Cricetulus griseus: one gene and its partners. The protein of the gene in region 1 purifies or fractionates together with the protein of each later gene. This does not show direct contact. Links are inferred from orthologs where the notes say so. Each region holds a gene or a part of one and is shown on either strand. Other genes may lie near its edges.

The links.
Region 2: the proteins of Cdc37 (region 1) and Yes1 purify together in Homo sapiens (affinity purification with mass spectrometry; 3 studies listed by BioGRID and IntAct, counting the BioPlex papers as one, with this or other methods). This does not show direct contact. The link is inferred for Cricetulus griseus from reciprocal best matches to the Homo sapiens genes CDC37 and YES1.
Region 3: the proteins of Cdc37 (region 1) and Fgfr3 purify together in Homo sapiens (affinity purification with mass spectrometry; 4 studies listed by BioGRID and IntAct, with this or other methods). This does not show direct contact. The link is inferred for Cricetulus griseus from reciprocal best matches to the Homo sapiens genes CDC37 and FGFR3.
Region 4: the proteins of Cdc37 (region 1) and Rps6ka1 purify together in Homo sapiens (affinity purification with mass spectrometry; 4 studies listed by BioGRID and IntAct, with this or other methods). This does not show direct contact. The link is inferred for Cricetulus griseus from reciprocal best matches to the Homo sapiens genes CDC37 and RPS6KA1.
Region 5: the proteins of Cdc37 (region 1) and Ddr1 purify together in Homo sapiens (affinity purification with mass spectrometry; 3 studies listed by BioGRID and IntAct, with this or other methods). This does not show direct contact. The link is inferred for Cricetulus griseus from reciprocal best matches to the Homo sapiens genes CDC37 and DDR1.
Region 6: the proteins of Cdc37 (region 1) and Araf purify together in Homo sapiens (affinity purification with mass spectrometry; 7 studies listed by BioGRID and IntAct, with this or other methods). This does not show direct contact. The link is inferred for Cricetulus griseus from reciprocal best matches to the Homo sapiens genes CDC37 and ARAF.
Region 7: the proteins of Cdc37 (region 1) and Stk11 purify together in Homo sapiens (affinity purification with mass spectrometry; 8 studies listed by BioGRID and IntAct, with this or other methods). This does not show direct contact. The link is inferred for Cricetulus griseus from reciprocal best matches to the Homo sapiens genes CDC37 and STK11.

What each region holds. Positions count from the first base shown.
Region 1 is NC_048597.1:134,007,018-134,011,266, reverse strand, and holds the start of Cdc37 (hsp90 co-chaperone Cdc37), read left to right. Parts: upstream 1-1,449; 5' UTR 1,450-1,561; coding exon 1,562-1,663; intron 1,664-4,249. UniProt on the Homo sapiens protein: Co-chaperone that binds to numerous kinases and promotes their interaction with the Hsp90 complex, resulting in stabilization and promotion of their activity. Inhibits HSP90AA1 ATPase activity.
Region 2 is NC_048595.1:461,475,780-461,479,279, forward strand, and holds part of Yes1 (tyrosine-protein kinase Yes), read left to right. Parts: intron 1-335; coding exon 336-491; intron 492-692; coding exon 693-872; intron 873-3,500. UniProt on the Homo sapiens protein: Non-receptor protein tyrosine kinase that is involved in the regulation of cell growth and survival, apoptosis, cell-cell adhesion, cytoskeleton remodeling, and differentiation.
Region 3 is NW_023276807.1:102,790,954-102,793,902, forward strand, and holds part of Fgfr3 (fibroblast growth factor receptor 3), read left to right. Parts: intron 1-259; coding exon of another isoform or gene 260-404; intron 405-866; coding exon 867-1,057; intron 1,058-1,407; coding exon 1,408-1,556; intron 1,557-1,802; coding exon 1,803-1,924; intron 1,925-2,202; coding exon 2,203-2,313; intron 2,314-2,389; coding exon 2,390-2,580; intron 2,581-2,697; coding exon 2,698-2,820; intron 2,821-2,900; coding exon 2,901-2,949.
Region 4 is NC_048595.1:19,392,657-19,396,940, reverse strand, and holds the start of Rps6ka1 (ribosomal protein S6 kinase alpha-1), read right to left. Parts: upstream 2,801-4,284; 5' UTR 2,675-2,800; coding exon 2,612-2,674; intron 1-2,611. UniProt on the Homo sapiens protein: Serine/threonine-protein kinase that acts downstream of ERK (MAPK1/ERK2 and MAPK3/ERK1) signaling and mediates mitogenic and stress-induced activation of the transcription factors CREB1, ETV1/ER81 and NR4A1/NUR77, regulates translation through RPS6 and EIF4B phosphorylation, and mediates cellular proliferation, survival, and differentiation by modulating mTOR signaling and repressing pro-apoptotic function of BAD and DAPK1.
Region 5 is NW_023276806.1:229,602,478-229,606,435, reverse strand, and holds the start of Ddr1 (epithelial discoidin domain-containing receptor 1), read left to right. Parts: upstream 1-1,158; 5' UTR 1,159-1,307; exon of another isoform or gene 1,308-1,405; intron 1,406-2,733; exon of another isoform or gene 2,734-2,901; intron 2,902-3,958. UniProt on the Homo sapiens protein: Tyrosine kinase that functions as a cell surface receptor for fibrillar collagen and regulates cell attachment to the extracellular matrix, remodeling of the extracellular matrix, cell migration, differentiation, survival and cell proliferation.
Region 6 is NC_048604.1:125,701,614-125,705,589, forward strand, and holds the start of Araf (serine/threonine-protein kinase A-Raf), read left to right. Parts: upstream 1-1,176; 5' UTR 1,177-1,332; intron 1,333-1,647; exon of another isoform or gene 1,648-2,501; intron 2,502-2,657; 5' UTR 2,658-2,714; coding exon 2,715-2,810; exon of another isoform or gene 2,811-2,845; coding exon of another isoform or gene 2,846-2,857; intron 2,858-2,980; coding exon 2,981-3,084; intron 3,085-3,976. UniProt on the Homo sapiens protein: Involved in the transduction of mitogenic signals from the cell membrane to the nucleus. May also regulate the TOR signaling cascade. Phosphorylates PFKFB2.
Region 7 is NC_048598.1:100,914,974-100,918,997, forward strand, and holds the start of Stk11 (serine/threonine-protein kinase STK11), read left to right. Parts: upstream 1-1,224; 5' UTR 1,225-1,252; coding exon 1,253-1,542; intron 1,543-4,024. UniProt on the Homo sapiens protein: Tumor suppressor serine/threonine-protein kinase that controls the activity of AMP-activated protein kinase (AMPK) family members, thereby playing a role in various processes such as cell metabolism, cell polarity, apoptosis and DNA damage response.

The DNA of each region.
Region 1 (4,249 bases):
TGGCGCACCCCTTTAATCCCAGCACTCAGGAAGGCAGAGGCAGGCAGATCTCTGTGAGTTCAAGACCAGCCTGGTCTACAAGAGCTAGTTCCAGGACAGCCTCCAAAGCCACAGAGAAACCCTGTCTCAAAAAACCAAAAAATAAAATAAAACATCTGGAGCTGGAGTTACAGACAGTTATGGACTGCTATGTGGGTGTTGGAAATTGAACCTGTGTCATCTGGAACAGCAGCCAATGCTCTTAACTGCTAAGCCATCTCTTCAGCCCCTGAAATGTAATTTAAAAAAATAAATTTTAAGGGCAGACCCAGTGTAGTGGAGCATGATTTCAATACCAGCATTGGGAGGCAGAAGCAAGGAGATCTGTGAGTTCAAGGCCAGCTCAGTCTACATAGTGAGTTCGAGGACAGCCAGGGCTACATAGTGAGACCCTGTCTTGAAAAAAAAAATTTTTTTTAAGAGTAAAAATCGGGGCTGGAGAGATGGCTCAGAGGTTAAGAACACTAACTACTCTTCCAGAGGTCCTGAGTTCAATTCCCAGCAACCACATGGTGGCTCACAACCATCTGTAATGAGATCTGGTGCTCTCTTCTGCTGTGCAGGCATACAAGCAGGCAGAATGTTGTAAACACAATAAGTAAGTAAATAAATCTTAAGAAAAGTAAAAATCTGTCGGGCACTGGTGGTGCTCGCCTTTAATCCCAGTACTGGTGGGGGCAGAGGCAGGTGGATCTCAACTCATTCCAGGCCAGCCTGGACTACAGAGCTAGTTACAGAACAGCCAGAGCTGTTGCAGCTGTTGAAACCCTGTCTCAACTCCCACCCCACCCCTAAAAAAAACCGCAAAATTTCACTCTTTTCTGTTTGTTTTGTTTTTCAATACAGGGTTTCTCTGTGTAACAGTCCTGGCACTCGATTTATAGACCTGCCTCTGCCTCCTGAGTGTTGGGATATAAGGCGTTTCTTTTTGGTTTTTCGAGACAGAGTTTCTCTGTGGCTTTGGAGCCTGTCCTGGCACTCGCTCTTGTAGACCAGGCTGGCCTCAAACTCACAGAGATCCGCCTGCTTCTGTCTCCCGAGTGCTGGGATTAAAGGCGTGCGCCACCAACGCCCGGCTCAATTTTGATTTTTTTGAGACAGAATCTCACTGCGGAGCCCTGGCTGGCCTGGAACTGTGTCGATCAGGCCTGCCTAGAACTCGCTGAGAGTGGCCTGACTTTGCTTTCCAAGTGCTGGGACTACCGTGGGCCGACAACCCCTAGGCAACTACCTTTTTTGTCCCCAGGGGATGCTCGGTTGGGTTTCGGCGGGAACTCCCAGAAGGCTGAACAACGTGAGCCTGGCCCTTTAAGAATCACCTCCGGTCGTCAGTGCCGCCGAGTCCCGTTGCTAAGGACGTGACGTCACGCGCGGATGCTGGGGCGGGGCCGTCGTGCGCGGCGCCGTGAGCGGAAGCGGAAGGGGCGGGGCTCCGCGAGCGGACTCTCTATCCCTTGTGGGTCCCTGTTCAGCGCCCGGCCGTGTGGAGCGCCGGGAGCCAATCCGGGCCTCCTAGGCGAAGATGGTGGACTACAGCGTTTGGGATCACATCGAGGTGTCGGACGATGAGGACGAGACGCACCCCAACATCGACACGGCCAGCCTCTTCCGCTGGCGGCACCAGGTGGGGCTGTGCGCGCGCATCCCCTTCCCCCCACTCCCGGGACCCCCCGCTCTAGAGTTCTGACCTCTTACCCTGGCCGCCCTGGTTCGGGCGGGTCGGGGGAAACTCAGTTATTGACATCGGGAGCCTCCTATTCCACAATCTGAACTTTCTGTCTCTCTTATTTTTTAAAAAAAATCGAACCAGGATCTCACTATAGCCTTGCCTGGCCTGGAACTTGCTATGTAGACCAGGCTGGCCACTAACTCACAGAGATCCGCCTGCCTCTGCCTTCCCAGTGCTGGGATTAAAGGTGTATACCGTCATGTGGCCTGGACTGTTAAATTCCATCCCAGGACTTCAGGATCACTGGGCTTCCTAACTCTCCACGGTCATCTCTGGGCTTTCCCCGCTGCTATCTCTTTTATTTTATTTGTACATTTGTTTGTTAGTTTACTTGTAGTGGTGTGTCTTGTGTGCTCGTGGCACAGCTTGTATCTGTAGATTAAAGGACAGTTAACAGAAGTCAGGCCTCTCCTTTCACCACGTTGGAACTGGGCATGGAACTTAGGTCACCCCAATTTGCCACAAGCACCTCCTATACACACTGAATCTTCTTATCAACTCCTAATACTTTCATCAGAGTCTAGACTCTCCAAACGCCGGCCCTTGTGAGTAGGGGTCCCCATCATCCTGTATGGAACCTTTTTTTCTCCTCAGAATTCTTTCTCGGAGTCCAGAACTCAGATTCTGTTAGGCTCTCCCTTGTTCTAGCCATGTGCCCACTGCTGATTGAACACCTCCCTTCTGCCTCTTCTCAGCCCCTGGAGTCTGGGTCCACGATACTTTTGATTTGATTGGGGCATCTACTTCCCAGGATCTTAAGCACAAATTTACATTAAGGCCCAGAGATACCCTGCCCCCAACTCCCAAACTGAATGAGAACTGTGTCTTACACTTAATTTCCCGATCTTAGCTTTCCGCTGGGATTCCACAACCCAGGGTCCCTTTCCCTGGAGTACAGACCAGAATCCCACTGGGGACTTCAGTCCCACCTAGGACTTCTCTCCATGTGGCCTCCAGCTCCACTGCTGCCCTGTGGCTTCCCTTACTCTTGCCTCCTGTAGACGCTTTTCCCCTTATTCCAGGAAACCCTACCCACTTAACTTCCGTCCAGAACCTCTGCCTGCTCCTTTATAGTAAGTAGACCCCCATCCTGTCCCTGGCTCCTGTATGAACTTTGGCCATCATTGAATACTCACCAAAATAGGAGCCGGGCAGTGGTGGTACACGCCTTTAATCCCAGCACTAGGGAGGCACAGGCAGGCCTGTGAGTTCCAGGTCAGCCTTGTTTACAGAGAGAATTCCAGGACAGCCAGGACTACACAGAGAAACCCTGACTTGAAAAACAAACAAACAAAAAACAGAAAGAAAGAAACTCACCAAACCTGAGCTCAGAACCCCAAACCTATTCTATCCTTCCCACCCTTTCCCCTGCAGCCTCCTTGGCTTCTCTGCAGTGTTCAAATCATCCTACTTAACTGGGGGAATCTCCTGGATCTTATCCCAACATCACCTTACTTCCTGAGCATGATGCCACATACCTTTAAACTCAGGTCTTGGGAGGTAGAAGTAGGAGGATGAGAAATTCAGTCAATCCTTGCTACATGTTAAATTCTAGGCCAGCTTGAACTACATGAAACACTGTCTCAAAAACCAAATAGGCTGGTGCTCAGTTGTGTGTCATTGCCTTGCACTGTGTCTCCAGCAGTGCTTAAAAGCTAGCCATGGTGGGACAGGCCTGTAGTCCCAGCACTGTGGAGATGGGAACAGGAAAGTCAGAAGTTCAAAGCCTTCAGCCACATAGTAAGCTTGAGGCTGGCATGGACCACATGGGATCCTGTCAACACCCAAGCAAATAAAATAAAATCCTACACATTTTTTTACATCTGTCCAGAACAGAGTCCCCCAGATTCAGACCTTAGAATCCCGTGTGTTTGAGCCATGGTTTTCCACCCCTCTTCTGCCCGGCATTGACCACGGGACAGTAGTGTACTACCAAGATCTAAGGGTGGTCTGGAGATGTGGTTTAGTGATAGAGCTCTTGTGTGGCATGCAGGAGGTCCTGGGCTCCATCCATAGCACAACAGTAAAGAGACAAGGGTCTAACCTGCTCTCCCAAATCACAGCATCTATATCCACCTACCTGTGTGCTATACCCTGTGCTTAAATTGTATTTTATTCATTTGTGTATACACTCCTGTATGTGTAAATGTACATGTGTAGTCCACGGAGGATAACTTGGTGGAATCTGTTTTCTCCTGCCATGTGGGTTCTGGGGATCAAACTCAGGTTTTCAGGCTTGGTGGCAGACCTTTACCCACCGAGCCCTCTCATTGGACCCTGAGTTTGTTATACTCTCAAGCTTAGGGCAGGTACTTTCTGGTTAGGAATTTTGCACCCCATCTTCCTGAGGGCAGCTCCTGCTCATTTATCTGGAAGCTCCTAGAAGGTCCTCCCTGTCTCCCCCAAATTAGTGTCTGTCCTCCACCCAATTCACACACCCATTCCTTCCAGTTTCCTAGGATGACTGCCTGCCAGGCAAGC
Region 2 (3,500 bases), on another chromosome or scaffold:
CTTTAAAAAAACAAACAAGTAATAAGCCAGGTATGGTGGCATATCCCTTTAATCCTAGAAAAAGATAAATCACTGAGTTCAAAGCCAGCTTGGTCTACATATTGAATCCCAGGCTGGTCAGGCTACCCAGTAAGATCCTGTCTCAAAAACTACCTAGCGCGCGCGTGCGTGCGTGCGTGCGTGCGTGCGTGCGTGCGTGCGTGCGTGCGTGCGTGTACATATGTGTATATAATTATTTACTTAGTATATTTTATTCACACAAGCGCTCTCGAATTGTCTTAACTGTGAAAGTAATTTATTTACAGTGTACCCTTGTACCTTGTTCATTTATCTAGAACATGCTGATGGTTTATGCCACAAGTTAACAACTGTGTGTCCAACTGTGAAACCCCAGACTCAAGGTCTAGCAAAAGACGCTTGGGAAATCCCTCGAGAATCTTTGCGACTAGAGGTTAAACTAGGTCAAGGATGCTTTGGTGAAGTGTGGATGGGTAAGAAGCATGAAGTTTGTTGTTATTTCACTTTGTTATTGTGGATCCATAAATTAAAATAGCAAAATATGATAAAATAGCTACACTGTGTATTTAATCATGTAAGATAACTTATTGTTCATTGAATTTTGGTCTAAAATCCTTTGAAATACAGATTCAGATACAGAAATATTGAAAGAGTAAAATAAATTATTTTCCTAGGAACATGGAATGGAACCACAAAAGTAGCAATCAAAACACTAAAGCCAGGTACAATGATGCCAGAAGCTTTCCTTCAAGAAGCTCAGATAATGAAAAAATTAAGACATGATAAACTTGTTCCACTGTATGCGGTTGTTTCTGAAGAACCAATTTATATTGTCACTGAGTTTATGTCAAAAGGTATGTACATAAGAATTGTCTTTTACACAGTTCTGTTGAAATTAAACAACTTCATTTCTGTTCTTTCTTAGATTAAAAGAAAACATATAATATATTTTGGTCATATTCTTTCCCAGATATCCACTCAACCTCCCAATTTTATATTCTTTCTCTTAAAAAAAAAATACAAAAAACATGAGAAAACCCCAAAATTAAATTATAAACAAAACACGAAGTCCATTTTTTGTTGGCCATTCCTGAGCACGAAGCCTTCCCTGGAGTGTGGTTGATATACCCATTGTCTCTTAGTTGGGGGGCGGGTGGGGTGGGGTGGGGGGGGAACAAACAGATTTTTCCCTTTCCCAGCAGCTATCAATTGCAAATAAGTTCTTGGTTAAGAGTTAAACTATGTGCCCAATTGCCCTTCCCTTTGTTGGGATTTTTGTCTGGTTTGAACTTGTGCATAATGTCCCAGTCTTTGTGAGTTCATATATGCATCAGACCTGATGTGTCTGGAAAATGTTGTTATTGAGGAGTCATCTACCACCTCTGGCTCTTGCATAGATCCCTGAGGCCTGATCACACTAGGGTATGATCCCATTTATATCTCAGTGTTTCAAAGTCTCTCACTTTCTGCATGTTGTCCAGTTGTGATTATCTGTGTTAATTACCATCTACTACAAGAAGTTATTTCTCTGATGAGGCGCAGTGGTAACACTTCTCTATAGGTATAACAGTATGTTGTTAAGAGTCCTTTTATTGCTTTGTTCATTTAACAGAATAATTATAGATTTTTTTCTAGAGTCCATGATTTACCTCTCAGAGGTTCTTGGCCTCATTAAGTATCAGGTATAGGTTCCATCTTATGAAGTTCAACCAGAAGATTGATGGTTACTCCCATAATATCCATGCCCCATTGCACCAGTGAGTATACCTAGTAGGCAGATTGCTGATATAGCTCAAAGAATTCACTTTTCTCCTTTAAAAATTACATTTATGTATTTTGCATACATATGTGTGTGGGTGCCGTGTGTGGAGGTCACAGGACAGCTTGAAGGAATCTGCTTTTTTCTTCTACCATTTAGGTCTTAAGGATTGAACTCAGGTTACCAGTCTTGGCAGCAGGCATCTTTACCCACTAAGTGCTCTTGTAGGCCCTCTATTTTATACAGATTGTTGCCATATAGTACTTTCTAACTTAAGATTTTTCTGTAGACTTTTGAAAAGAGGAGATATGATATTTTTTTTAATGGACTAGTGGTTATTCCCACTTATCCCACAGGGTCTAAGGAGACTTTAAAGGAAAATTAGACAGGCTGAATCTTTTCAAAGTAGGTTTAACTAAAGGAAATGGGATTGCTAGGGTAGTAGAAAAGTAGACATACTGAATCAAAGTGGTAAACTTGTACCTATAGCACTAAGGCAAAGATATTAAAGGGAATCGTTTTTTATCATTTTTATAAAATTATAATTTCACATGTCAGTCCCTTCTCCCTCTCCTCCCAACCCCCCACCAGCCCCCTCCCCCCTCCACTCCCCATAGAGGGTAGGGTCCTCCACGGGGGCTCCCCAAATTCCACATCATCCTGGGCCAGGCCTAGGCCTTCCCCCATGTGTCCAGGCTGAGAGAGCATCCCTTCACGTGGAATGGGCTCTCAAAGTCCCTTCTTACACCAGGGAAAAATACTGATCCACTACCAGAGGCCCCATAGGGTACCGAGGTCTCCTCGTTGATATCCACTTTCAGGGGTCTGGATCAGTCCCGTGATGGCCTCCCAGACAGCAGACTGGGGGCTATGTGTTTCCCCCTTGTTCAGGCCAGCTGTTTCTGTGGGATTCACCACCTGGTCCTGACCCCCTTGATCTTCATTTCTCCCTCTCTGCAACTGGGTTCCAGAGTTCAGTTCAGTGTATAGCTGTGGGTGTCTGCCTCTGCTTCCATCAGCCACTGGATGAGGGCTCTAGGATGACATATAAAGTAGTCATCAGTCTCATTATAGGGGAAGGGCATTTAGGGTAGCCTCTCCACCATTGCCTAGATTGTCAGTTGGTGTCATGCTTGTAGATCTCTGGAAATCTCCCTAGTGCCAGATCTCTCCTTGGACCTATAATGGCTCCCTCTATTATGATATCTCTCATCCTGCTCTCCTCTATTCTTCCTCCAACTCAGCCTTTCTGCTCCTCCATTTCCTCCTCTCATTCTGCCAGCTCCCTCTCCCCTACCCTCATGTTTATATAAACACAGTTCTTATACACTGGACTTCCAGAAACTGTTCTCCCCTGCTGTCAATTGAAATTTCTCATCCTTCCCAACCCAGGCACAGGTGGGCTCTTATGTAACTGCTAGTTAGAGCCAGGGGCAAAGCCAGGCAAGGTTAATGTTCTTCCCCTTTATTTCTAGGTCAATGATGCTTTAGAAGAGGAGCTAGTAAGTGATGAAATGTTGATTAGCCTGAATCTACTCATTTTTAATTGAATCTATATTAATTTTTTTTTTTTTTTTTACTTTTTGTTTTTGTTTTTTGAGACAGGGTTCTCTGTGGAGCCCTGGATGTCTTTGAACTCACTCTGTAGACCAGTCTGGCTTTAAACTCACAGATCCACTTGCCTCTACCTCCCAAGTCTGGGATTAAAGTGCTCAGCTTATTT
Region 3 (2,949 bases), on another chromosome or scaffold:
GCCCACCTGCCTGTTGCTCACCTTGGGACAGAGGACTCGCCATCGGTGGAGGGACTGGCTTCAGGCTCAGTGCCTCGGTGCAGGAGGCAGAGGGCTCTGGGCCTCTGTGGCTGTCTGTGTCAGGGCCATGGTGGTGCTGAGGTTGTGGTGGTGGCGGCGTTTTCCTTGCAGCCTGGCTGGATCATCTCCGTGTGGACTGCTGTGGTACCCAAAGGGAAGTGCTGGCGCTTGCCTATCGCACTCTGTTCTCTCTTTGTAGACAGCAGGCGCTAACACTACGGACAAGGAGCTAGAGGTTCTGTCCTTGCACAATGTCACCTTTGAGGACGCGGGGGAGTATACCTGCCTGGCAGGCAATTCTATCGGGTTTTCCCATCACTCTGCGTGGCTGGTGGTGCTGCCAGGTACTGGCTTCTGCTCACGCTGCACTGGTTCTCTTGGGGTGCTGGCTCAGGACATGCCAAAGCTGCCAGGGACTACAGGGGGCACCCTATGGCTTAGTGCTGCCCTATGAAACCCCAGCCTTGTGCTTGGTATGGGAGCATCAACCTGCCCCATCTTGGTCCTGCAAGGCCCCCCCCCCTTCATCTTCTAGTTGGGTGCCCACAGTCCTGATCTGAGGCTCTGGCATTTCCTGGGTGCCCGGGTGGCGGTATGGATGCTTCTGGCTCTGCTGGGCTTCTGTCCTGGGTCTGGCCATGCTGACTTACAGTTGTTTTTAACTATATTACCAAGGCAAGTGGGGAGCCTTGATCCCTCCATCTCTTGAGTATCTCAGGTACTTTCCCTCCCACACTGGTGCTTGTGTCCAGCCGGTGGGAAACCTGAAAAGGCTGGATGAGGCCCCCAAACTTGTGTCTTTACAGCTGAGGAGGAGCTGATGGAAGTCGATGAAGCTGGCAGCGTGTATGCAGGCATCCTCAGCTACGGGGTGGGATTCTTCCTCTTCATCCTGGTGGTGGCAGCTGTGACGCTCTGTCGCCTTCGAAGTCCCCCAAAGAAGGGCCTGGGCTCACCCACTGTGCACAAGGTCTCTCGCTTCCCGCTTAAGCGACAGGTAACAGAAAGTAGATACCAGGTTTTGAGCTCCCTGTCTGCATTGGGTTTCCTAGAGTCCCGGTAGTACCCAGGGCCTGGGGCCTCCTAGGACTCATTCCTCTGCAGTTGAGTGGGCTGATCCCTCCCTGTCTATGTTCTCCACATGGAGCCTAAATCTTGTGGTGCAAACAGTTTTTAGTAGTCTTCAGTATCCACTTTATAGAAGTCAGAGAAACCAGCCCTTTTTTTGACCCCACGCCCTGCCTCACATAGACTTAATCTTGCTATTCCTGGTAGCTATACCACCTCACCGCTTTTCCATTGCTCAGCCCACATTGTGTGGTACCAACCTGTCCCTGATGACCCAAGCAGGTATCCTTGGAGTCCAACTCCTCTATGAACTCCAACACACCCCTTGTCCGCATTGCCCGGCTGTCCTCCGGAGAAGGTCCTGTTCTGGCTAATGTTTCTGAACTTGAGCTGCCTGCTGACCCCAAGTGGGAGCTATCCAGGACCCGGTTAGTGGTGGTGAGGGACAGTATGTACTTGGTGGGGGTTCTGGGGCTGGGGACTGGAGAGTTACTAGGCAGGGACCTGTTGAAGGTGGGATGAGATGTTCCTGAGGTAGAGTGCGGGGTGAGATTTGAGGTTTACTTTTGGTCTTCATGAGCAAATGCCCATGGAGCTTCCAGGACACAGTGGCACATGACTATGAGTCCTGGGAGTTCTGGGCACACACTTACTGCCTCTGCTTCTGTGGCCAGGCTGACACTCGGTAAGCCCCTTGGAGAAGGCTGCTTTGGCCAGGTTGTCATGGCAGAAGCTATTGGCATTGACAAGGACCGAACTGCCAAGCCTGTTACGGTGGCTGTGAAGATGCTGAAAGGTGAGAAGGGAGAGAAGTAGAAGGGCATTTTATTATTATTATTATTATTATTATTATTATTATTATTATTATTGGTTTTTCGAGACAGGGTTTCTCTGTGGCTTTGGCGGCTGTCCTGGAACTAGCTCTTGTAGACGAGGCTAGTCTCCAACTCACAGAGATCCTCCTGCCTCTGCCTCCCGAGTGCTGGGATTAAAGGCGTGTGCTACCACTGCCTAATGTAGAAGGGCATTTGAGGGCTGTGGGGCCATTAACAGACAAAACCATTCCTGCTATAGATGATGCCACTGACAAGGACCTGTCGGACCTGGTGTCTGAGATGGAGATGATGAAAATGATTGGCAAACACAAGAACATCATCAACCTGCTGGGGGCCTGCACACAGGGTGGTAGGTGCAGCAGGTGGGCAGATTGGTAGAGGGGGGCTCCTGAGTCACACAGCATCTCAGCTGTGTGTATTCCCAGGGCCCCTGTATGTGCTGGTGGAGTATGCAGCCAAGGGCAACCTACGAGAGTTCCTGCGGGCACGACGGCCTCCAGGCATGGACTACTCCTTTGATGCCTGCAGGCTGCCAGAAGAACAGCTTACTTGCAAGGATCTTGTGTCTTGTGCCTACCAGGTGGCCCGGGGCATGGAATACCTGGCTTCCCAGAAGGTATGCAGAGATAGGTCCCAGACCAGGTGGGGTCTGTCTGGGTGGAAGAGTGAATATCAAACTTGCCTGAGCTGGGGAGGTGTCAGCTTAGCCCAGGTTCCTTGTATGTTTCCTCAGTGCATTCACAGAGACTTGGCTGCCAGAAACGTGCTGGTGACTGAGGATAATGTGATGAAGATTGCAGACTTTGGCCTGGCCCGTGACGTGCATAATCTAGACTACTACAAGAAGACCACAAATGTGAGCCCTGGTCTAGGGTAGTTTGGGTGTAATGCTCCACTGGTGGACACATGAGAGCCAATACCTCTCCCTCTGTCCAGGGCCGGCTACCAGTGAAGTGGATGGCACCAGAGGCCCTGTTTGACCGAG
Region 4 (4,284 bases), on another chromosome or scaffold:
AGAACAGATGGAGAAAGATAGTACATGCCCCGCAGGCAGGAAGCAGCCCCAGGAACTGGGGTCTGAGCCCAGCATTGGCAGCCCTGTACACTGCTGGAGCCTGGGGGCCAAGTGCCAGGACACCGCTAGCCCTCCGCCAAGGCTGGACAAGGGCCCTGCGGACTGAGAAGTTTGTGCCAACATCCGGAGCTGCTCTTGGAGTACCTGCCACCTGTGCCAGTTTAAACCTAGCCCATGCTCATCTTTAAGTCTCCATTGCTTGGTAGGAAACAGCAAGAGCCCTGAGTTCCAATCCTGCCCCACATATTAATGCAGGTGCCAGCATTTCTAAATTCAGCTGTCCCCTCTGAAAATGGGAGTCATAATTTCTATCTTGAGAAGTTGTGAAAATTAAAGTCATATAACATCCATGGACACCAGATAGTGAAGCCTGGCAGGATAGGGCCTGGAGACCAGACTCTCTTGTTTTTGCCCAAACCAAGAAAACCCAGGCAGCATCCTCACCCACACTTCGGACTGGTTTATTCCACCTGGGCCCAGCAGCCCACTTTTTGGTGATAGCAATGGGAAGGCAGGGCAATTCAGATCCCAAACCTCTTTTGCCAAATGCCCCTGCCAGCCCCCTTACCTGCTTCCTTCCTGGCTAGAAGCTGCCCACAATGGCGCCAGTACCTGCGGGTCAGGCACATGTATCGCTTACATGCCATCTGCACTAAGAACAGCAAGGCCCTGTTCTCAAGTAAGAATGCACACCCTCACTGCCCCATGGCTCCTGTTACCCAGACAATAACACCCAGTCCACTGGCACCTCCATGGCCCGGGGGGAGGGGACACCAACAGCAGTACCCAGGGTTTTGCACCTTGTCAGGCCCAGGAAGCAGATTTAGAAGTGCATTTGTGGCAGTGAAAAGAGAAGCCCAAGAGAGCCGGAACATGGACTACGGGCCACTCAGCATTTCTGAAGTAAAACTCATTGTAAACTCCTCTCCCCATCCCAGGAAATCCGACAGTCTCCTCTCCCCAAATTCAGGTGCAACAGTGTTCAAACTAAGAAGTTTCCGGTTTAACCTGGCCCCTATGAAGCTGGCTGTGGCCTCAGGATTTCCCAAAGGGAAGCAGGAAGTGCTGCCCTGGAGGAGGCCAGGGCTACCAGATCTCTACCCTCCCTGCTAGTGTAACACTGTGAATCGCCAGGCTAAGTCCCTCCCTAACCATACCCAGCTCAGCTCGACCTTCCTCTGGAGGCCCAGGTGGCAGGGGCGTGCCCAGGCAAAGGAATACACCTCTGAGCCTTCCCGCAGGCCTTGTGCCCAGCCCTGAGGTGGGGGGGAAGGCAACAGGGGCTGCACAGGGCAGTGCTCCTCACCTACCAGGGTGAGTCAGCGAGAGAACCTCTGAGGGCTGTGTAGGGCCTGTAAAAACCCCATGGCAGGGATCCCAGAACAATTTACTCCAAATTGCGCCTTCAGGTTGGTTACCTAATCCAGCCGCGCCCACCCTCCAATAGCCAGTGTAGCCCATCCCTTTAAAGGGGCAGCATGCTCTGGGTGCCTGAAGACCTGGGGTCCCCACTGTGGATCCCTCTACCTGTGGCCCTGACAGGCAGGACCGATGGTGACTGCCCTGAGGTCCCAAACATAGGTAAGGGTTCAAGCCAGCAGAAAGATCATCTAGGTTCTGGGGTCAAGTGAGGTCTCCATCTGTCTTCTGTACCCTAACAGCTCCAGTTAAGGCAAAGTTTCACCTGCCTCCTTCCCAGTATGAGAGCAGGGCAAAGTTTTCAACTTGCTGGTTTAAGACTTGACCTTGATCCCAGGGTCACTGGACACCACCAAAAGTGGCCTCCTACATGCTCAGGGTTGGACCACAAAGCCCTGGTAGGATAGGAGCTGCTTCTGGGAGAGACTAGATGGTAGAAGCCACACTGCCCAAGGGCCCAGCCTTTTCTCCAGGAAAGGAAGAAGGAGGGAGAGAGGAAGACGGATGCGGGGTCTCTTCCCCAGAGACAATCTTCACAAGGTCTAAGGGCTCTCCCCTCTCTTCAGCATAACCTGAAGGAGGAGACCCGTGTGTCATTAGCATTAGGGCAAAGGAAACCAGGAGGTCCCCACTCCAGAGGTGGTAAAATCCCACATTCCATAACTGCCACGGTCCAGAAGGGCTACCTTCCTAAGGTCAGAAGTGGAGGAACGAAGAGAGCTCTTGAAGAGAAGATACGGGGAGAAACCAGATTCCCATGATCCTTGTCTCTAACAGAACCTCAGACATCTGACCCAAGCCTTTCCCTTCTGCAATGACTGGGGCAACTCCCACAGCTCCCAAAAGATGATAAGCGGGACGAGTCCTAGGGGTGCTTAGGGTGTCAAATCTCGAGAGCCCGTGGGGTTCCCTCTCCTGGCTACTGCAAGGAGGTACTGAGCGTCCAGCAGAACCGTGCCCTGCACACGCACACCCGGAGCACAGGGGGGTGGAGCCGGCCAGTGGGCTAGAGACCAGAGGGCACTCGCGTCCTCGCGGGGCTGCAGAGACGACGCGGGCCGCCCCGCCCCTGTGCGGATCCGCGGGCTGGCCGGCCGGCCGCCGCCGCCTGTCCCCCGCCCCTCTCACTCACCTCCGGGTCCAGCGGCACCAGCTCCATGAGCGGCCAGGGCTCCTTGAGCTGGGCGAGCGGCATCGCGCCGCCGCCGACCCGCTCGCGCTGCTCTCGGCGGCCCCGGGCTGCGCTGCCTCCGGGCCCCGGGGTCCCCGGCGCTGCACTGAGACCCCCCGCGCGCCCGCGCCCTCGCGCTCCGGCTGGGCCGTCCGCCGCCGCCGCCGCCGCGGCACTCGCACTTCGGCTCCCTCCGTCACCCGGCGCCGCCGCGCCCATTGGCTACCTGCGCGGGGGCGGGGCCTGGGCAGCCCCGCCCATCCCCACGGCGCGGCATTCCCGGCGCGGACCCCCGCCCCCAACGCGCTGGGAGTCGGCCCCGCCTTCCCTCGAGCCCCTGGCCCACTCGGGGCCCTGCCCGCCGGAGAGTCTGCGGCTTCCTTCTTCCCGGCCTGTGTGTCCCCGCGCAGACCCCGCCCGGGCCACCGTTGTCCCGTCCTCGCAGCATTTGGAATCTTAACCCAGATGTGCCTTCTCCCTCCAGCGGGAGGGGCTGCCACCCTACCAGGGATGTCCTGGGCCTGATCCAGACAGAGGCTTGGAAGGATCCGGGGCCGTGTGTCCTCAGGCTCTCCCTCCGCAAGCCTCCGCACAGCAGGGAGCCCACCTGGGGTCTCTTAAGTGATCCCCATGTCCCAGCGTCAGGACCCACAGCGCCCCCAGGGTGATTTCTCAACACGCATTTTTTCCCTCCCAGTCTGTGCCCTATCGCTTGAGGGCGCTGGTTTCAGGCCAGGTCCAGCGTCTCTTCCGCGCCAGGCCGGATGGTGGTCTGGTTTGAACTTGAAGCCCTGTGAAGAGGGCAAAGTCTAGGCCTAGTGGGGTCACGATTCCCTCAGGCAGGATTTGGCCTACGCCTAAAGAGGTCGTAGGGCCCAGGTGTGGTCTCAGGTGAGATAGCCCAACGACAAGCTGGTTAGTTTCCTAAAAGCCTCCTGCCGTGTGTGTGTGTTTGTGTGTGTGTGTGTGTGTGTATGTGTGTGTGTGTGTGTTTGTGTGTGTGTGTGTGTGTGTGTGAGTGTGTGTGTGTGTGTGTGTGTGTGTGTGTGTCTGTGAGTGTGTTTGTGTTCCCTTGCTTAGTTGGTTCTGGGTATGGGAGCCAGGCTTTGCACGCTAAGTTGCATTTGGTACCATGGACCTATACCTCCAGGTGGCTTGTGATTCTCTTGAGAACTCACCACCTCCTACTAGACACTCAGAAATAGGAAGTGATTTATCCAAAGTCACACAGGATCGGGAGTACATTCGTCTTTAGAAGGGTGTGGGATGGACTTGTGAGACGGCTCAATGGGTAAATGAGCTTGCCTGCGAGACCGATGCTGTGGGTGACTCTCAGGTCCCAGATGGTGAAGGAGAGAACCAACACCCACAAGTTGTCCTCTGACCTCCACAAACGTGCTCTGGCCCAGAGACAACTTCTCCCAATAAATTTGCATGCAATAACATTTTTAAGTGAGGTGTAATGGTGCACGACTTTAATTCTAGCATTAGGAAGGCAACAGAGCCTCTGAATTCCAGGCTGGCCAGAGCTACATAGTGATACTCTGTTTCAAAAAAAAAAAAAAAAAAAGTAAGTAAATGAATAAATAGAAATAAATTTAATTCAGGAAACTGGGGCCAGGTGATTGTGACCT
Region 5 (3,958 bases), on another chromosome or scaffold:
TCTGGGCCTTCCATCAATCTTGTGGTTGTCTTTCCTTTCTAAGTCTGCCCCCCATCTTCTTTCTTTCTTCCTCCCTCCTTTCCTCCTCCCTTTCAAACTCCATGTCTCGGTCTCTACCCTCCCCATATCTTAGTTTCATTCCAACCTCCCCACTCTCTGTTTCCTCCATTCCAGTTGCCGTCCCAAACGTTTGCTTTCCTTCTGTGTCCGCTCCCCGCTCCATTCAATCCTTTCTCCTCCCTGTGCCTCCACCTATCACTTTGGTGCCATCTGTCTGACTCCTCTCCCTGGAGTCAGTTGTGTCTCTCCGTGACCACCAGCCTCTCTCCCCTGGTTCTCCATCCCTTCTGGGTCCCTCTCCCAGACTATCCACGGCTAATGTGTCTAATTTTTCTGTCCTAGATTTATGTTTTGGATGTCCTAGAATTATCTTCCTTTTTTTGTCATCACACTACAGGCCTCAGTTTCCCATTTGAACTATGACCAGGGTCTTTTCCAGCTCCCTACCCGTCACCCCCCCCCACACACACACACACGCACCAGAGGCGTCCCACTCTCCCCAGCTGCTGACCCAACCTACTTCCCCAGAGGCAGCTGCATCTCAGGGCAAGGACTGTGGCTAGTGTGTGTCGAGGGCAGCGAGGGTGGGCCCATCTGGTCCACCCTCCTTTCACTCCTCCTGCCCTGCTTCCCTGCAGTGGCGGGTGGTCTGCAGGCCTGTTTCTCCTGCGTGCCTCTCTTCACATCCCCCCCCCCGCCCCAGCTGTTTCCCCTCTTCCTGGGCTTGCAGGGGGAAAAAACGGTCCAGTTCTATACCCTCCAGGGTTCTAGGGTATAATGGGGGCTTCTGGAGTTGTGAGTGGTGAGAGAAAGGAGCAGGGGGCTCGGGGAGCCACAGACCGGCACACTCTCGGTTCTTGGCTCAGCTCTGTAGGCCCCTGAATGGCTGGGATTTCCCTCTCTGGCCCCTGGGAATCTGGGCTCCAAGCAGCACATTCCAGCCGGCTCCAGCTCCTTTTCTGTTGTCACTTGACTCCGCTGGGCCCCAGCCCCGTGTCCCTCCTACTTCTCCAGCCCTGGTCTGGGGCGAGGTGGGCATCACCGACTAGGAATTTTCCCTGGGAGAGTGAAAAGGGGGCAGAGGCTTCAAGACTCTGGCTTCCTCCACATCTCCCATGGACCCTTCACTAGTCAGTGCGAGTCTAGGGCGTGCAATGTCCCAACGGGGTGTGAGGAGTTGAAGCTCCGCCTGTCCGGGGCTTCCCCGGAGCATCTCTCCTGGGAGGAGGGGCTGTGTGCCGTTGCAGGTGAGGTTACTGGGAAGCCTTGGCCCCACCTCCAGGCGGACTCCACACCCCGCCCAGTCTCTGCAGGGCCCAGATTTCCTATTGCTGTCTGCAGAGGGGTAGGTAATTGCGGGCGGGTGGGGGGGGGGGTCCCTAAGGGCTCGGTGGACAGGCTGGAGGCAATTCTTCCAGTGACCATGGGGGCTATTAGCAGGTCCTTCAGCAGCTGGAGCGTCCCTGGGTTTGTAAACTGGAGACCCAGCCTGCCTTGGCTTCTCCCTAGTGGCCGCTTATCTTCCTGGTAGCTTTTTCTGTTCTTGTCTGTTTTTTCTTTACACTCTTTGGAAATGCTTTTGGGTGTGAGTTTTGAGTCAGTTGGGAGGTGCAACAGGGTGGTGAGACCGGCGAGGTTGCTGGAGACTTTACTGTGACCTGACATTGTCCGGGGACTTGGCAGGTGTGGGGGTGTGGAGAGAGGTAGGGCTGACAGGTGGTGCTGAATGGGGACAGAACACCTCCCACACAAGCTCGGCGGTCGCCCCGCCCCCCCCCCGCCTCCACCATCTCTCCCTTCCGTGGCTTAGCAGCTCTGTTCGTTGTTTTCTTACGTCCCTGGGTCTTGCGTTCCCGTCTTTTTGGGCGGCTTGTGATTTCCAGGGCGCCTCTCTATCTTTCTCCTCCACCCCCACCGCGTCCTGGCTCCATTTTGCGTCTCTCCTTGCCAGAAACCAGATTCTGCGGCTCCCACCAGGGACTGAGCTGGCTGGGAACTGAAGAAGGCTTGCCTGAGGAGGACTCCAGAGCGAGTCTGGATGGAGCAGGGAGCCCAGGGGGACCCAGAGCTGGGAGTGTGGACCTCAGGGCTCCTGAGAGAAGAGAAGGGAGCTGCAGTTGGGGAGGGGTTCTAGAGGAAGGGGACAGAAAAAAGTAGAGAATAAAAGAGTGTGGCCCGTCCTCAGGCTCGGGAGTAATCTAGGTTGGGAGCCGGGGAGCGGGCCTGTGCCAAAATGTAGCAAAGTGGGGAGGAGTGAGAGCCAAGCGGGGCTGGCTAGACAGGTGAGCCCGGTTCCCACAGGCCTAGCTCTCGCTCCCGAGCTGGGCCTGTGGGAACCCGCTGCTTCCTGCGTGCCCTGGGGCTGCTCCTCCGTGCTTCTCTCCCTCTCTCCAGGACCCGAGCCCAGAAAAGGGGGAGGAGGGAACGCGCCATCTCCTCGCGGGGCCACCGCTTGGGGGTCCTGGGAGGGCTGCAACCGGTCCCCTACTGTACCGTAGCCTCGGGGCGGCGGGGGATGGGCGTGCGGATCACCTAGGGGAGGCTGGGGTAACATGCGGGGCGGGCTCCGCGCGCTAGGAGAGAAACGAGGGGCGGCGCGGGCGTGGGGCGCGGGCGCCGGGCGGGAGGACGGGCGGGGACAGGCGCGGGGAGGCGGCGCCTGGGGCGATCCGGCCCCGCGCTGGCTCCTCTCCCCGGAACAGGCCTCCGACAGCTGCTCGCGGGAGCCGCCTCCCGACACCCGAGCCCCGCCGGCGCCTGCGCTCCCCTCCCGCGTCCCGCCGCCGAGGAGGCCCCAAGCCGGGGCCGGACGCTTGAGTCGGCCCCGGAGAGCGATGAGAGGTAGGGACGAGGTGGGGAAGCACAGGAGGCAGGGGGCGCGGGTTGGGGAGACTCAGCTCTGTGCGCCGCCTTGGGGTTTTGATTCCCCATCTGAAACAGAAAGGGCCCTGACTTTCCGAAAAAGTATCTTCTCGTAGGGAAGGATCTGTCTTTTCCTGGGTGAGGGGAGAGCCGAGCCCCCAGAGGACAGGTGCGCTTATGTAGCCCACTGAGTCATCCTATCGGTGCTCCCTGGGCCGTGCCTACGAGCATGCTCTGTTAAGCTGCCCCGCCACAGGGAGCCAGCCTGACGCCCAACCTACCAGACCAGCCACGCTCGGTGGTTGCCGGGTTGTGCCAAGAGACAAGTCACCGCCCAATGAGCAACGCTCCTAGGGTCCCCTTCTGGCCTGGAATTCCTGCCCAGCACCTTCTCCCAGCCACGCCCGGCTGGCCTGGAACTGACTGGCTGAGAAGGATGGAGGTGTGTCCAGACCCCAGTGGCACCATAGGGACAGGTCACAGTAGAATGCGTGAGAAAGTGGAGAAATGGCCTTGCCCTTCTTGCTGCTCTCCCCACCCCAGTCCCACCTGTCCCCACCTGCTCTTGGCTTCCCTCTGGCTTAGTCACCCATGTGGGTTTGGGAGGGGCAGTTCTCTGGGGATCCTGCACCCCAGGGCCTGAGTGGGATTCACATTGCCTGCCATTTAGTATTAAACAGGTGTCTAGAGGTGGCAACTCACTAAATGCTGAGATCTAGCTTTATTTGTCACCTCAGGGTGTGTGACACACACCTGTAATCACACACCTGAAAGGTGGAGGCAGCAGGATCAAGGGTTAAAGGTCAGCCTCCCTTGGCATCATAGTGAGTTTGGAGACTTGAACTAGTTGAGACCTTGTCTCAAAAAATCGGCCATCCTGCTATAGAGGAACATGATTTTCATCCCAGCACTCAAGGAGAGGCAGGTGGCACCCCATGAGTTCAAGGCTGTTCTGGTCTATATAGCTAGTTCCAGGCCCACCCAGGCTACATAGTGAGACCAACAAAAATCCCTCCAACTAACCAACCCCTCCTCC
Region 6 (3,976 bases), on another chromosome or scaffold:
AATTTAAAGAAAGAAATCTTATCCTTTTATAGAACCAACAGACTCAACCCATTACATACAAGTTCTCAAAATAACCGCTAACTTGTTTTGAAATAAGAAAACGTGACAGCACCATTTGGGATACAGGGTTCCTTCTAAATTCATCTAGTAGTCAGGGTGGCCATCTGTTACTTTATCCAAAGGAAAACCAAGACTCATAACTTCTGACAAACAAGTAACAACTTTAAGCTGGACACACAGAGGAAGTTCCCACCAGTCAGGGAGATGGGGTGTTGTTATATTCGAAAAAGGTAGTTTCAAGGCCCCTAAGGAAAATTTTCTGTGGTTGTAAAACTGTCAAGACACCAACCTAATCTTTTTTAAAGGGTGCTGGGGATTTAACTTGGGGCTTTGTGGTTCATTCTATTGGTGAGCTTCAAATGGCCAGAGAAAATATGTTTTCTAAAGGAAATGTTCCAAGAAAAAGAACACGTGCGTGTGTGTGTGTGTGTGTGTGTGTGTGTGTGTGTGTGTGTGTGTGTGTGTGTGTGTGTGTGTGTCCCTCTTATTCTTATTTTGATGTCAGGGAAAGTTCAATTTAAAAACTATGTTCATCCTAAAATATGTCCACAAATGGCTGCCACAGTGTTGCATTCCAGATCCACACTCCCCTCTTCACCTAGCCACCTGTGGCCTGTCTTTCAAATTCCTCCTCAACCATTTTCCTAAAGGAAGCCTCCCTCCCTCCAGCCAGACCACCAGCACGGTTCTTCTACTTATCAAGAATTATGGCTACAGTCTCCTAAAGCTGGTAAATACTGGACATCATTTAGTCCGATTGCACCCCATTTTAAGGATAGTCAAACTAAGACATACGAACGTCCTTTAAAATGTGCTTACAGCACTGGCTCCAAATTGCATTTAAGGGTTTTCTCTCGCCCTTATTCTTAAGCCCCTAAAATCAGCCCCAAATGGCCAGAAAATACACAATTAAAATCGAGTCGTCCTCCCGACACTCACACCAAAAAAAGGACAAGCTTTTTTTATTCTGCAGCAGTGTTAGGGTTAAAGTCCTTAACACGCAGTTGTCGTCCAGACTGTGCCTGAGCGCCAATCAGGACAGGCGAATTTGCCCTAGAGACTACCATTTGGGGCCACCCCTCCTAATCCGGAACACGACCCACATTCCGCTGGTCCTGTGTTGACGGGCGTGATCTTCCTCCAATAAGAACGGAGGGCTGAGTCCTGGAGAGCCAATAACAAGAAGCCGAGGGACGGTGGCGGCGGACTGTTAAGAGGAAACAAGAAGACAGGCCCAAGATGGAGGCGGTGGTGGTGGTAGCGGTGTGACAGGTGAGGGCAGGCCCGGTAGGGTTTGGGTTTTGGAGCTGCCGCCGGACCCGGGCAGGAAGTCGGACCGAAAGCTAAGCTCCAAGATGTTTCTGTCTGAATCTCAACACCCCCCGCCCGGAACCAAAGGAGTGGTTTGACCCGGGGCGAGACCATCATCTACCGCGGGAGTGGATAGAGTCCGCGGACAGCCTGCTGTGGTTGCGCCCGCTGCGAGTGGCAGTGCGCCTGCGCAGAACCTAAAGCCCTTCGGGAGGGCGGGACCGGGCCAAATGGGGTCTGGGGTCTGGGGCTTGGGTGCGAGATTCTAAGATGAACTCAAACCCCTCCAAGTGGCTGACATTTCCTCACCAAATCCAGGAGATGCAGCTCTCTCCCATGATTCCTTGTTATCCTAAAAATTCTACCCCTCTTAGGAAAATGTTTGAGGACCGCCCCATTACCCCTAATTCACCTCAGCCTCCTTCCAAGATTCCCCAGTGCGTTTACATCAGTAATGTATTTGTGACCCTTCAGTAGTTATCTGGGAGAATTTTTGGAGACCTTTTCCCCAACCTTACCTCTATTTTCCTCACCTGGATATCATTGTGTTCTTTTTCCTTTCCTTTTAGCAGTGTTTTCTGGTGGGCAGTTATTGCCATTTGCATTTGGCTTAAATGTGTAATTCAGTCTATTATCCATCTGCCTTTCATAGTCCCTAATGACTCCTATTATATTTCTCTTCAGCATAGTGCTTGGTGACCCACTTTGTGAATTCATCACAGTCTGGTGACCTCTATTGGCTATCTGACAGTGCCTTTAATTCTACCCTCAGCCTTGCAGCTCAGGGCTCTGGGATGCTCTCACAGTGCCTTTTAACATCATGGCACAGTCTCCATTTCCTCCAAATGGAGGAAAGATACGACATAAAGATACGACGATCGTCCATTTTTCCGTTCCCTGTCTGTAACTCCTTTTACTATACTATCTGATCTCTTCATTCTCCATTAAAAGCCAGGGCAGCCTGTTCATTCCCATTATGTGTTTGAGCCTTTGTTCTCCAGTACAGTACATACTGACATCCCCATTAGTCTCCAGAAGAATTTTGTGTACTGTGCTTCCTCACTGAGGTGATTTTGAGATCTTGGCACTCAACTGTGAGATAAGCAATAGGAGATTCTGAGCAGAGAAGGGTAAGCACCAGGTGTTAGCATTATCAGGGCTATTTCATGAAATTTGGGCTGCAGGGAGCAATGGGAGCTTGGAGATGGAATTTTATTTGTCCTCTGCCATTCTGCTTTCAAACTATTATTACTAGACCTCGGAATTTTTCCTCTGCCCTCTCCTAGGAGCCCTATGGCACCCGTTCAGTCCTACCTCAGCCCATCTTGACAAAAGCAGGTTCCATGGAACCACCACGAGGCCCTCCTGCTAGTGGGGCTGAGCCATCTCGGGCAGTTGGCACTGTCAAAGTGTACCTGCCTAACAAGCAACGCACAGTGGTGAGTCACTGAGACAAAACTGGCATGTGTTCCAGATGGTCCCAATTGTAAGTCTGGGATAAGAAGGGTGACAAGGGGCCAGGGAATGGCTACTGCAGAGGGATGGGATAATTGGCTAGGGCATTTATTAGGTACTCAAGACCCCAACCTGTGTACACATCCACACATAGGTGACTGTCCGGGATGGCATGAGTGTCTATGATTCATTGGACAAGGCCCTCAAGGTTCGGGGTCTCAATCAGGATTGCTGCGTGGTCTACAGACTCATCAAAGGGTAAGTATGGAAACCCTGTGCCATCCATTGGGTACCCAAAAACCTCTGTTCATCAGTGTCATCTTAGTCCTTCTTTTCTGTCTTGGAGTCTTCCACTAGTTGAGGTAACCCAGGTAACATCTTTTGTTTCACTTCATTCATGGACCTGGAAGGTCTGCAACTCATTATCTACTCAGCCTTCAGGTCCTCATTCCGTCACCTTCCAGAGTTCATCTATTTTGTTCTGTCACAATTTCCTGAACTCATCAGCTCTTTCTTTTCTCATTTCCCTCATGGACTGTAGAATTGGTCTTCAATGGTATTCTTTTATTCCTGTGTTCTTTGGTTCCTTAACTTTTTGGATGTAGTTCATGTTTTACATTTTATCTATTCTTTCAATGTCTTATCAGCCCCATTCTCAGGTGCTGGCTTAATACTTCTGACATTTCATCTCATTTGCCTCTTATCTCATGGTTAAAGATCATGGATTGAATCTGGGAATGGTGGGCATACCTGTGATCCTAGCAATTAGGCAAATCACTTCATCTCTTGAGCCTGTTTCCTCATCTATAAAATGGGAGTGAGAATAGTGGCTTTTTTCTTGGGAAATTTTACCTTCTTTTTTGTGTGTGAGTGTTTTGACTCTGTGTGTGTGTGTGTGTGTGTGTGTGTGTGTGTGTGTGTGTGTGTACTGTGTGTTCCTGATGCTTATGGAGGCCAGAAGGTTCTAGATCCCCCAGAACTGGAGATTGTGAGCCAGCATGTGAATGTCTAGAACTAAACCCAGGTCCTCTGCAAGAGCAGCAAGTACTCTTACTGCTGAGCCATCTCTCCAGCCTAATAGTGACTAGCTGAGTGAAAAGTAAACATTCCAGAGAGTAGTTCATGGATGGGGCTGAGAGGAACTTTTGGA
Region 7 (4,024 bases), on another chromosome or scaffold:
ACCCGAGTCCCGAAACTCCGAGGTCACTTCTACAAGCTACCTTACCGCTCGTCAGTCGCGCTGGCTGACGGGCGTCTGTAACGACCATTCAGAGATAAGATCCCGCCTACACACATCAGCGCTGACCAATTCCATCTCTGGAGCCCCACCGAGGGGCGGGGCTTGAAGCCACCGCCCACAGCCGTTCATGTCGCTCCTTTACAGTCGCTTGCTTACTCCAATTCTCATTGACGGGCGTCTGAGTCAACCAATGAGAACGTAGGTCCCGCCTTCTGAGGTGGAACCCGAGCTGTCCAATGTCAGCTCGAGCGCCTACTCCGATCCAAATAGGCCAATCCGCGTTGGGAATTGAGGCGTGTCTGGGGGCGGGACTTAAGGCTACAGCCAACGGCCGCGCACGTCGGCTCCGCGAGGGGGCGTGTCCGCCGTTGAGGCGTGCGACGACGGCGCGGCGCAGGGCGGTAAACAAGATGGCGGCGGCGTGTCGGTCTAGGGAAGGGGAGGCGGCTCACGGTGTCCGCGAGTGAGGCGCGAGCCGCGGAGGGTGGCGCCGGCTTGGAGTTTCCCCTCGCGGGCAGCATCTTTCTGCCTGAAGTTCGATTCCCCCCTCGCCGCTCCGGCCTCCTGCCTGTCGCGCGGCGGCTTGGCGGCGAGGGGGACCCGCCGCCCGGGGTGTTTTTTTACCCATCGGTCTCCGGAAGATTCACTACCCCGACTTCGGTGCCTGCGGCCTGCGGGTGTCCCGGTGCCCTGCGTCCGGGTGGAGTCCGCGTCCCGGGAAGTCACGGAACTAAGGGGCCGCGCGGGGCGTCGGCGCGGGCCGGACATGGACGGCGCGGACCGGCCTCGGCGCTGCCGCCTTGGGCGCCTGAGCGCGGGGCCCGAGTGGCGACCATGACCTAGCGGCCCGCGCGCCGCGACGGCGGACCGTCGCCTCCGTCGGAAGCAGCGTCCCCGGGGACCTGAATTGGGGGGACGCGAGGGTTGGCGGGGTTCGTTGCTTTTCCTTTTTTTTTTTTTTCCCTCATTGAACATCTAGAAGAAAGGGGGAAAAGTCAAAAGTGAAGAATTGGCGCCCACGAAGGGGACGTGGACCCGGTCGAGGGGACCGGGAGTGTTGGGGAGGCTTTTTTTCTTTCTCCGTTTTCCTTCTTGAACATTTGTAAGAAGCGGGGCGGGGCGGGGCGGGCGGGGGGGAGATTCGAACTCGAAAAGAATTGGCGTCCCTGAAGGGGACAAAGACTGGGCCAGGATGGACGTGGGGGATCCCCAGCCGCTGGGCCTTTTTCCAGAGAGTGAGCTGATTTCGGTGGGCATGGACACCTTCATCCACCGCATCGATTCCACCGAGGTGATCTACCAGCCGCGCCGCAAGCGCGCCAAGCTCATCGGCAAGTACCTGATGGGGGACCTGCTCGGGGAGGGCTCGTACGGCAAGGTGAAGGAGGTGCTGGACTCCGAGACCTTGTGTCGCAGGGCGGTCAAGATCCTCAAGAAGAAAAAGCTACGCAGGATCCCCAATGGCGAGGCCAACGTCAAGAAGTAGGTGCCAAGGGCCTGGGGCCGGCCTTGAGCTTTCGGGCGGCCCTTCCTCTTTTCTCTCTACTTCCTGGCCCTATTCTTTCCTCCCCTCTAACCTTCCTCCCCTTCTCATTTCCTTCCTCCCTCTTTTTCCTCTCCCCTCTCTGCCACTATCCCTAAGCGTCACCGCGTAGGGACTGTGTGCTAGGGCAGCCCCCAGGACTTCCCTAGGGGGGAGGTCGTGTGGCCACGTCCAGCCCTCTTTTTTCGGCCGGATCTTGGCGCGGGCCTGGCCTGGCTTCCTTGGCGGGCGTTGCCAGGCGGGTGGCTACTTTGTTTACGGAGTCAGAGGGAACTGGTGGGGCCAAAAATAATGGTGAACACAGGCTGGGAGGCGGGAGGCAGGGGCAGGAGGTAGCTAGCCAGTGTTGGCGCTGGTCCCTGCGGTGTCCTGCGTGCTTGGTGTCGCTGGGCCTTGGGAACTCTATCGCCTGTCCGGCTGGGCGGAACTTAGGAAACCTCACCTACTGTCTTCCAAGAAGGGGCCTTATCTGTGGGGCCAGCACTGGCAGAGACTCTGCCTGGCTGGTGACCTTGCTTGTGGTCCTGTCCCAGGAAAAGCTGGGAGCTCCTTGTTTTTGCCAGCTGGGCGCTGCTCTTGAGTGGTTCTCACAGGGAGGTGGGTAGCTCCCCAGGACCAAGTGTGTGCACCCAGCTGGTGGAGCAGGGCAGGCTGGTGTCTTGGGCTAGCCTCAGACCTGTTTGGCTTCTTGTATAGGACTGGCCCTGGGTTATTCTGGCTCTGTGGGGCCTGGGGGTGTTCCTCCAGGTGTGACCAGCTAGAGGTTAGAGACCTGAGCTGGGGAAAACCTGGTTCCAAATCACTGTTTTCTGAAAGTGGAGGTGTCTTAGGCTGATAACCTTACATCTGGGTGGTGTCTACTGGTCTGCTGAGGCAAGCAGCCCCTCCCAGGTCTTCAGCCCCCTTTGGCTTCAGGGTTATGGCCCCTGGCAGCCCAATGTATCTGACTGTCCAGGTTGCCTGGATTCTGGCTTGAGGTCAGTAGCATTCCATGTGCACATGGCAAGCCTGTGTACTGTTTCTGCTTGTGACTGAGGGCGCCACAGCTCCATCCATGACTGCAAAGCCCTCACTAGCTATCTCAGGTTTCATGCCTTCTGTACCTAACATTGCCCAGTCAGGGTGTGGCTTGCAGAGCCAGGCAGGTTCAGGTGAGAGAAATTGATTCGTAGGCCCTGAAGTGGCCCCACCTGAATTAGTGGGGAGGCATGGGAGTGACAGGTGTCACGTGTGAGCTTAGAGGGACGTTGGACACAGTCTGTTGGAGGCCACCAGCTCCTAGATGGCTAGGGTGCTTGCTGTAAGGTGTTTGGACTGTTCCTCAAGAGCTGGAGTTGGTCTGGGCAAGTAGCACCTATTATCTCAGTGGTAGAGAGACTGAGGCAGGAAGATTGCTTCAGGTTTTAGACCAGCCATAAGGAAAACTGGACTTGACAAGATAGCTCTGTGGGTGAAGGCCCTGGGCCCCACACAGTGAAAGCAGACCCAGCTTCCATGTGTGTGCTATGACGCCTGCATACACACAAGATAAAAACCAGACTGTCTGACACACTGCCCTGTCCTGAGATCTTCGGATGACATGACCCAAGGCCAGGTGTCTGTGATGGAGGACTAGTGTGGCTGGTGTAGTGGGAACCCTGAGGCTGTGGGCATGTGGGCTGCCTCTGACCCACATGCACAGTCACAGCCTGGAAGGGGCAGCTTGGCTGACAGCTGGCCCAGTCAAAAAGGCTTCTTTGTTTTCAGGACTTAATAAACTCCACTCAAGTTGTCTCTCTCATGGTGAAGTGTCCGGAACCTTCCAGACCCAGTCTGTGTGCAAAGCTTTCTCTTTCCAATATGATAACTGTGGATGCCCGCCAAGGCATGGGGCAGTGTGGCGCCTCCCTTTCTGAGAAGGCCGCAGGGACCTGCTGCTCCTCAGTGTGCTGTGGGTGTCTTGCACTGACTTACCTGTGGGGCTTCATGTGAGCCTTGCTGCCCTTTGCTTGTGAATGGACATACTTCTGAAACCTGTCAGCAGGGACAGGTTAAGGAAGCGTGTCGGTGTCCGTGTGTGTGTGTGTGTGTGTGTGTGTGTGTGTGTGTGTGTGTGTGTGTGTGTGTGTGTGTGTGTGTGTGTGTGTGTGTCCGTGTGTCCGTGTGTCCGTGTGTGTGTGTGTGTGTGTGTGTGTGTGTGTGTGTGTGTGTGTGTGTGTGTCTCTCGCCCAAGACATGACTCCCAGTCTAGTGTCTGTATGCTACATTACAGTCTAGGGCATGAACCTGGCAAGAGCTCTCCACTGAAGCTGGTCAACCTGAGAATGCTTTTGTGTGTTTGCTTCTTGTTTGTTTTTTTTCTTGTGTATATAATTTTTTTTTTTTATCTTATGTGCATTGGTGTTTTACCTGCGTGTATGTCTGTGTGAGAGTGTTGGGTCC